Linked DNA regions of Oryzias latipes. The protein of the gene in region 2 binds, or shares a complex with, the protein of the main gene of each other region. Links are inferred from orthologs where the notes say so. Each region holds a gene or a part of one and is shown on either strand. Other genes may lie near its edges.

Evidence for each region. The genes of interacting proteins can lie anywhere in the genome.
Region 1: prkg1 (region 2) and cnn1 share a complex: the UniProt entries of both Homo sapiens proteins name them as parts of the cGMP kinase signaling complex. The link is inferred for Oryzias latipes from reciprocal best matches to the Homo sapiens genes PRKG1 and CNN1.

The regions. Positions count from the first base shown.
Region 1 is NC_019866.2:22,605,531-22,610,114, forward strand, and holds the start of cnn1 (calponin-1), read left to right. Parts: upstream 1-1,532; 5' UTR 1,533-1,736; coding exon 1,737-1,796; intron 1,797-4,584. UniProt on the Homo sapiens protein: Thin filament-associated protein that is implicated in the regulation and modulation of smooth muscle contraction. It is capable of binding to actin, calmodulin and tropomyosin. The interaction of calponin with actin inhibits the actomyosin Mg-ATPase activity.
Region 2 is NC_019873.2:20,154,617-20,159,436, reverse strand, and holds the start of prkg1 (cGMP-dependent protein kinase 1), read right to left. Parts: upstream 3,117-4,820; 5' UTR 2,571-3,116; coding exon 2,266-2,570; intron 1-2,265. UniProt on the Homo sapiens protein: Serine/threonine protein kinase that acts as a key mediator of the nitric oxide (NO)/cGMP signaling pathway. GMP binding activates PRKG1, which phosphorylates serines and threonines on many cellular proteins.

The DNA of each region.
Region 1 (4,584 bases), on a different chromosome or scaffold from region 2:
GGGAGGGGGGAAGGAACAGCACAGTGGGGTAAAAAAGGAAAACCACCTCATGGTGATGACATCAGCCATCCTACAGTAGCTTTTAGGCTCTAATCAGACTTTACTTTTTGGAAACGCCAGAAAACTAAGTGAAGTGATACAGGATACAGAGCTAAATAAAAAATAAATAATTTTATTGACAATCATTTTTTTCAGCTTTTAAATTTTTAGTTTTTTTTAAACATTTTTTTTAATGTTTTTCCACACAAACTGTAAATGTCAGGATAGCAGTAAGTAATTTGTCTTTTATTTTTAATATCATGTGTTCCTGTGTAGATGGTCTCACTGAGTCCAGGTCTGCTGGAGGATTTTTTTATTTTGTAGGAAGGATTTATTTAGTTAAAAGGCTCACTTTATATATATATATATATATATATATATATATATATATTCCTTAAAATCTCACTCCAATCATCTTTTGATTTATTTTAAACACGTTCCTTATGGTCTTTTAATTACAGTGGTGCTGGGACTTGTGTGTTTTTCTAGGACATTGTTTCTGCAGAGCGGCAGCAGTTTATAAGAACTTCACCTCCTTTCCAAAAGCAATAACAGTCCTCAATTCCCAAATGCACAGATAAAATCCATATTCCTGTTTACTTCTCTGTCCACAGTGTCAAAACTCTTACCCCATTACCACCTCTTGCACTTTTGACATGTTTACACACAGTTTGCGTACGCAATTGTGCAGAATTATTTCAGCACTCTTCATTACAGTTTACAGTTTATATTGCACTCTTGTATATACTGTTTGTTTGTTTGATTTGATTGTATTACGATGTTTCTTATTATTTTCCCTTCGTGCTGTTCTTGCTCTGATGGCAATGCTAAAATCTCATTGTACTATGCACAATGACAATAAAGTCAATCTAAATCTAAATCTAATCTAAATCTTATTCAGGAGGGGGTGGGACCGTTGGCGCGGGCCAACCCCCTCCCCGTTGCTGAGAGCTCTCTTGGGTTTTTTCTGCTCCCAATTCACAACGATTTGAAGAAAAAAAACAATAACTCAGAAATACAATTTAATCTTTATTTTCTTCATGTGTGTCTCCAATCATCAGAAGAATGCCACAGAAACACCATCTGAGTGGGTTTTCATGGAGTTATCATTTTTCTGCAGGTGCAATTGTTTTGGTCTCACAAACATTTTCTGCTCAGCATTCCAACAAAACAAGGGATAGAAGTTATGAAAAAGATTTAAAGAGACTTATTAAAGTCGATGATTTATAAGTTTATTGTATTTATTTCCATATAAAATGAACCAATTCTGTGAAACACATTTAAATAGAACTGTTTCAGTTCGTACTTTTACCATAATTGGAATAAATCTGCTTAATATCCGTTGACAGAACCGTAACACGTGAACGTCACGATGACACGACCGCAACAATCGGCACCTCTCTCGCGCACGCGCACTCGGAAAAAGTGACACCGCTTGCTCAGTCATGCCCGAGCGATGACATCACTCGGCCGCGCGCGCGCCCGAGCAGACTGCGCCGTGATTGGACGGCGGCCCCGACCAACCGGCGGGCGCCGACATGGCGAGGGTTTAAAACGACCCAGAAAGATTCCCGCACTGTCCGTCGGAGAGGGTCAGCCGCGGGTCCGAGCGCATGAAGCAGTGACAGCCGGCGGTTTCCGCGGACTTCCGGTCAGGTTTCCCGCTTTTAGGGAGAGAGACACCCAGAAAGGGAAGCATGTCGACGCACTTCAGGAGCGGACCGGCCTTCGGACTCTCTGCCGAGGTCAAGAGTAAGGTGGGTGTGTGGCCTTTGATGATGGGAGAGAGGATTGTTCTCCTCAGGAGGGGGGTCCACCAGATGGGTGTCATCAGCTCCTAGGACAGGTGGGGGAAGTCTGCAAACTGTTGGGACTTTTTTTTGTTTGTTATTTTTTTATGAGGTTTATAGAAACCAAATCAATGTAGGACTCTGATCTAGTTTGGTTCAGCTCAGGCCATGCACTCCCCCCAGAAGGAGGGGTTGTTGGGGATTATGGTGAGGATGAAGGAGGTGGACGGAGGGCGCTGTTCTGATGATTCTGGGAACCAAAGGCCGATCCAGATCCATGGCACTGGTGTGTGTGTCTTCTGGTTCTGGTTGACAAAAATGGTCCGTTTCCAGCCCATCCATGACCTCCCCTCTGAACGGCTCCATCGCTCAGCAGCGCCTTCCTTTCACTCTGCTGTTCTCCAAGAATTCCACATTCCTTGCAGACAGCGGCCGCCTCACAGGACCCGGGATCGAACACGGACGAAGAACTGAAGCCGGGATGGTACGACCCAAAAGCAGAGAGCAGCGGCGCCAGCAGCAGCAGCAGCATCCTCTGATGGCCTTTTAAGGAGCGACCGGCCGGGAAATGAAACTGTGTCCCGACTCTAAACTGTTTACATCTGAAGCAGGACTGATAAAACGCAGGTGGACAGGGGAGAGATGGGGGGCCACGCCAACAGGGACCCGCCCCCTCCTTTCACCACGAGACCATATCTGGAGAAGAAAAAGAAGAGATGGAGCACAAAAATCCACAATAAAAGAAATAAAAATGACCCAGAAAAAAGATAAACGCAGCCTCAACAGGAGACAAACCAGCGTCCTGCTTGTGCCTGTCCCAAGCCCGGCAAATCTATAGAATAGTGTTGAGAAGAGAACTTCTGACACATCGAGTGGATCAAAGGAGAAGAGAAATATATGGAGAGATGATCTGCTATGATGATAGCTTGGTTTTCTGAGCATTCTAGGAGCTCACAGGGATTTAACCATAAAAATGTATTTATTAATCCATTTATTTTCATATTTTATTGATTCAAATCTTTAGGGGAGCTTTCTTAGTACGTTTCTGCTTTGGCTTTTGTCCAAAAAGAAATAAGCTACAGAAAGTTATGCAATTATGAAAACAACTTTTTTTTTTATATTACATTTTTTTTATACATTGCATTTTTTTACAGGTAAAGTATTAAAATAAACTTCTGTATACATTTTCTATTATTAAACAAGGAGTAGTTCCAGAAGCAGAGAATTTGTAGTTTTACTTTTTCAAACTGGTCTATGGTTCTGAAATGCATGTTTTTAATATAAAAATAGAAACGTAAATGTTTTTAATAGAGACCGGTTCATTGCTAACTCAGTGTTTTTATTTTCAGCAATATTTAACCTTTTTTTTCCCCTTTCCAGTCATTTTTAAACAGGTTTTCAGTATAGAATGTGTTTCTGTAATGATTAAAATCCCAAAAAATGCAGCCAAAAAAAACTCTCCTGAATCTAAATCCGGACCCGATCTGGGTCCTAGAACCAGAACCTGCTGCTCCTGCCGCTGTGATCCTGGAAAACCTCCACGGAGAGGAGAAAAGGAGGTGCAGAAACTTGGGGATCATGGGGAGAGGAGGACAGTGGAAAAGGGGAAGGAGGAATTTCTCGGAATGGCGTTTCTCCCAAGTTTGGTGTGATGGACTTGAAGCCGCGCTATCCCTGCTGCTTTCAAAGACTTGTTTGTGTTGGCTGCCGATCCCAGGCTTATCGGGAGAACATTCAAGAGAAGCGGGGAGAGACTGTGTGCGAGCATGAGGAGGCGGCGGTGGGAGGGATGGGGGGTGGGGGGGGTGGCCTTAAACCCCACGCCAGAATTCAACGTATTAGGGAAGCCGGTTTGTGCCCGTTAGTAAATGCATGGATGGAGGAGAGATGAGCATGCAGGAATGTCCACAGGCCTTTTTCTGATCTCTCTTCCTGTTCGCCTTTTTTATTCCAGTTTGGAATCCTTTAGCTACCCGTTTGTTATGAGCAGACGCCAAATAACTGAGGCCTAGAAATGGGAAGGGTAAAGGAAAAAAATATGTCTGCGTACATGATGGACAGATGGATGTAGGGCTGAACAATATGAGAAAAATCTAGCAATTTGCTGTATTAGTAGTCAATATTGCGATGATGATATAACTTGCGATAAATGAACAAACGGCAAAAAAAGCCTAGTTTACGTAGGGTTACATTGGTCAACATCGTGAAGGCGTCCATCCGCTTGGTCAAATGCATAAAGGGATTTATTTGATTCGTTAAATACTTCAAGCTGCCATAAGGTTGTTTTAGCTCATCAAAGGTAACCATTTATTGCAATTTTCACCGTCTTTTAACCATCGATAACGATAAATTTGCGATTTATTGTGCAGGCCTAGATGGATAGATGGATAGAATTTTGTAGTGTATAAGCTATTCAAGTTATACACTAACCAATCAAATGCTCCAATAAAAGTATGTAGAGCCTGCTGTCCCCCACGTCCAGCGTTCGAAACCTTTTGATTGAGAGATTTCGTGTAGTCCGCCTTTAAGTGGAAGGGGTGTGGACTTCCAACAAGGTCACTGCCGATTCACAAGAGTGGTTGCCATAGAGACAATGATTCAGCCTGGTTCAGAGCAATCAATGCTTACTGATGTCGTCTGGCTCCAACATGGCGGCGTCCGTATGGCCAAAAACTGGCAACTCAATTGACTTCATTTAGTTGGAGCAGGACGTAAGTTATTTTCTGTAGGTGACGTCATCTCAAGCTACGTTAAC
Region 2 (4,820 bases):
ATTTAAAGCTGCTGCGCATAAAAATATATATTTTTTTAATTTAGCACTTGAAGGTGTAACTTTACATTTTTCTCATACATCTATTTTCAAATATGTCATTTATTCAACAAGAAAATAATTAGATCCAATTCGTCTTAGTGGGAATAAACTTTAACAAAGGAGTCTTGGTTTTTGGGGAGCAACAGTTTTTAAGATGATGCTCCACAACAGACCTTTTTGTGCACATTACACAGCAGAAAACATGTCGAATCAACCAAACAAAATCGAGTTCAAAATCCGCCCCCACCAAAGCTGACCCCCAGTGCTCTGGAAATGTGCCTCATTGACCCCATTTCTGTTATATTTACACCCAGGAGGCTCGAAGCCTTTCAATTCCAATCGCTGCCAAGGTTGAGTAAGCTCCTCCAGCAAGACCCTTACAAAAACATCTGCCTTCCCCTACTTTACGAGAATGAGACATTTGCTTCCATCCACTGAAGTTTAGGCAGAGCAAGTTCAGCCTTCCTTAAAAGGAGAAAATATGCACTTTAAGGAGGAAAAAGAGGAGAGGGGTGGCAGAAAAACAGGAGAGGCTCACAAAAATGAGACAAAACAAAGAGAGATGATACAAAGAGAGCGTTCTAAGGGCGCTGTATGGAAGCAAAAAGAAAAACTATTTGTTGAAATGGAACAGACTTTATGGCTGCATTCCAACATGCAGAACATAATAAAAAAGGTATTAAAGATGGTTGTTTATCCACAAGGGTAATGACATAATTAAGCAGTAAAGCAAAGTTATTTTCTCTTAGACATTTTTCGGATCTGAATAAATCCTTTACACAAAATAAAAAACCCAACTTCACTCAAATGAAAATAAGAAGAAAAAAAAACGTAAACACTATTAAAGGTACAGAAACCACTGATGTAATTTGTTTAGTGCATAAATGGATCACAATTATGACTATTAGAGGAGTAATTAGGACTCAAAATGTTACTCCATACAGGGACTGAGATAATCAAAAAAGTTGTCATGTCTAATGCTTAAATTAGCTTTTAGGCAATGTATGAAATATAGTCCTATTAATGGTATTAGCATGGTTATAACTAAGTATTTGTACATTTTTCAAAAAAAAATTTGAATGCATCACTATTTCTGAAGGAGGAAACACATTTGATATTTGTGTTTGGTTTTTTTTCTTGGAAATGTAAGATCCAGAGGGTGAGTTGGCCAAATCTTCACTGATTTACTGAAGTAGCCTGAAGAACTAAAGCTAAAAGCTACTACCTTGACATAAATGACACATGCGGTTACAAAAATAAGCAGGCAGGGGAACAGAAAGCATGGACTAATCTGGAGAATAATCAGCAGCAGCTGGGGGGGTTGCTAACAGAACACAGGTGTGACAGAAGCAAAAAAAAGGAGACCGCCGAGCAAATCAAACGCAACTGACATCAAACAAGACCCAGACAGCAGAGCCAAAGTCACAAACCCTCACATGCTGGAGCTTTGAAAAAAAATACAAATGTAAAACACTTGGAGCAAAAGGGAATTAGGAGATGATCACTCAGCTTTGACAGGAAGTCTGAGACGTCAAGGTTATTTGGAAAAAAGTTATAATAATAAAGTATTATTTTGTTGTTTGTGACATACAGTATATTTTGGGGTTTTGAACCTGACTGTCTTCAGATTAAATGCATTTGTCAGCTGAATAACAAACTTCAAGTGACGCAGAATTCATTATGAGTTAGAAATGTTTTTATGATTGGAAATATCTATATGTCCAAAATCATAGTAACTTATTTTGTGTGTTTTTGCCTTTTGCTTCAGGTTCAGATATCAAAGTGAGTGGTCTGTTTCCATGGAAGCTTGTGAATAAACTACAATCCAGCAGCTGCTGAAAGTAAAACTTATTTTACGCTCAAAGGCGGCAAATCTTCATGTAAACCCAAAATTATCCCTGTAGTCCCTCAATAGACTTTTAATTGTCTCGTGGTGTCGCGGGGGATTTCTGTTAATTAGCCTTTGCTTGCCTTGCTGCCAGTATTGATAACACTCACTACTTAATGTATTGGTTTGAAAGCTTGATTTCACTTTTTCCTCCCAGTCTTGCCTCTCAGTCTGTAGACGCACGTCTGTGTGCGTGCACGCGTGCGCCTCTTCCTTGCGCTACAGGTGAAGTACCTGCTGCGCAACACGAACGCACAAGAATCCCACAGGTGTTGAAGGACGAACGCAAACACGACAATGGATGTGAATACTTGACCAAATGAAAGGTGGACACCTACTGTGGGCTTTTGGGGTAGAAAGGCAGGGTGACGTGGCTAAGATCCTGGATGTCGAACGCAGTGGGTTCTGCAGAAATAGCCTGCCTCTTCGTGCGCTGCTGCTCGTGCAGCTCATTCTGCTTGTGGACCTGTTGGGTTGCCGGTTTGATCACAGATCGGTACTTGTCCAGTTCGTTCTGTAACCTCTGGATAAGTTCGTCTTTCTGGTCGAGCTCCAGCTCCAGCTCGTCAATAAGCGCGTCCCTCTGGCGCAGCTCCTCGATCTTCTCCTGGAGCGCGTACTGGAGGTCGCGCAAAGTGCCCATGTTTTAGCGCCGACGTTTCCGAGAAGTTTAGCGCGCGCTTTGCTGCCTAGTCTTCTTCACCCTCGCTCCTCTTCCGAGTGGCGCGGAAACTTTCTCCGGCATGAACAGTTCTGAGAGGTCGCGGCTGCTGTGTTGACAGCGAACGACGGGAAACGGAGGACTTCCACGGTGAACGTGAAAGCATCACAGGCACAATCACGCAAAGTTTAATGTCCCCGTCTTCATCCCTCTCTCTCTCTCTCTCTCTCTCTTTCTCCACCTCGCGCGCGCAGTTATGTGACAGCGTGGGATCGCCTCCCCGAGTGCGATTTGGTGAGCAGGGCGCCTGCAGGAACCGCGCCACAATGCAGTGTGCCGCTCCACAGAGAGCTGCGCTCGTCTCACATGATTGAGAAAGAAGTCAGTGAGGAAGCCACATGGGCTCTCATACCTCAGCGACGCGCCCCAAGGCTGCCTCTGCGCGCGCAGAGGAGAGCGCAGCCTTAATGAAGTTGAAGGTGATGGGAAATGAACCTCAGCGCACAAATGAGTCACTGTTTGTTTTGGGTTGGATTGCTTGTTTTAAAAGGTGAAAGATATTTGGAAAATATATAAATAATTGAAAGCTTAATTAATCAGGATGATTAAACTTTGCTTGGCAAATATTCACATTTTTGTGGTAATTACAGCAAAGGTATAGTTCCACCAAGCAGATTTAGTCGTATCAAAATGCCAAAGATGCTCATGACTCCACATCTAATCTGGTGCTGTGTGTGCGCTCTGCGCGCCGCTGGTGTCTGACCACTTGATCCCAGTGAGTCATCTGAAGCTCAGGGAATCTGACCCCACAGCGCCCGAACTCATGTAGACGAGGACGATCTGATGGAATTGGGGAGCTGCTTGCAGCAGCAATCGGGTACCGCTGGTGGGCAGGAGGAGAGGGGGTGGTGGGGATTTTTCTTGGATAAACCTGGATGCTAAGAACTGTCTCCCAAACAGCTGGGATTGGAGGCAGATGGTCCATTAACAGACCACAGCTGCCCTCGTGTGGCGGATTTAAGGAAACCACAGGACGAGAATAAAATGATCATCTGAAATAATGAGTTTTCAGAAAAGGTTGTGTTTTTTAGGATTTGCTTTCCCAGTAAGATTTGAGGGTTCATATTCAAACATTTCAAACCGTGCTTTGTGTTACAGATGAGGAAGACTTGTTAAATCGGCGCATATATCTGCAAAAGTGTGTAAAGTAACTCATTTAATAATTAAGCAACAGTGTTTATCTTCTAAATCAGGGGTGTTAAACTCATTTTCACTGAGGGCCACATCAGCATAGTGGTTTTCCTCAAAGGGCCAGATGTAATGAAAATAAACCTAACTACTCTCCTTAATGTTAAATAACTCATTTATTTCTTTATTATAACTTTTTAAAGTGACAATAACAGATAGAAAACAAATGTTTGCTTGTTACTTTAGCATAAATCCTTTTAAATTTGATTCTGCCAGGTTAGGTTATATGGACAGTGTTTATGTCCTAATGTATAGTTGCCCATTCCAATATTTTAAATCCAATTCCCCCTAGATATGAAAAAATACACACCAATTTTAAGTTTTTATTTTAAGAAATAAAAAACTTTTACGCTCTCGCGGGCCACATAAAATAACATGGTGGGCCACATTTGGCCCGCGGGCCTTGAGTTTGACACATGTGCTCTAAATGGATATTAATGCTTTTTTTTCTATTAAATAAACAGATGAAAATACAGTAAAGCTTGCTTGGGGATACTGCAGGTGCATCCAGGGTCTACATACCTCAGAAATCCAGCCCACTGTCCTTCAAAGCTCCTCAGTGCTTCAGATTTCACCTCTCTTGCCTTGCAGCTCTGCCCGTTTCCTAGGCGGATCAATAGAAACAGAATCCGCTGCTTCTTTTGGCTGTAATCTGAGAAGACGAGCCGGCCGCCGCCTGGTGCCACTCTAATGGGAAGGGATCACACTGAATCTGACCCCACTTCAGTGGACAACTTTCTCCAGACATGGCTGGCACCTTGGGCTTGCAAACACACCCGTGGGTTCATTCAACCTTTTTCTGAGAAGCATCCAGCTGTGCAGACTAAACAATGTGTATTATTTCAACTTGTTTTTTTTTCTGAAAGAATGAGAGAGCTGCCACACAATCACTTGAATCATTCTTAGGGGAAAACCACTAATTTTGTTATTTCTTACGGCTGTTTATTTGTTCATGGTTGTGAAACAACTCTCTTTTCAAATGTT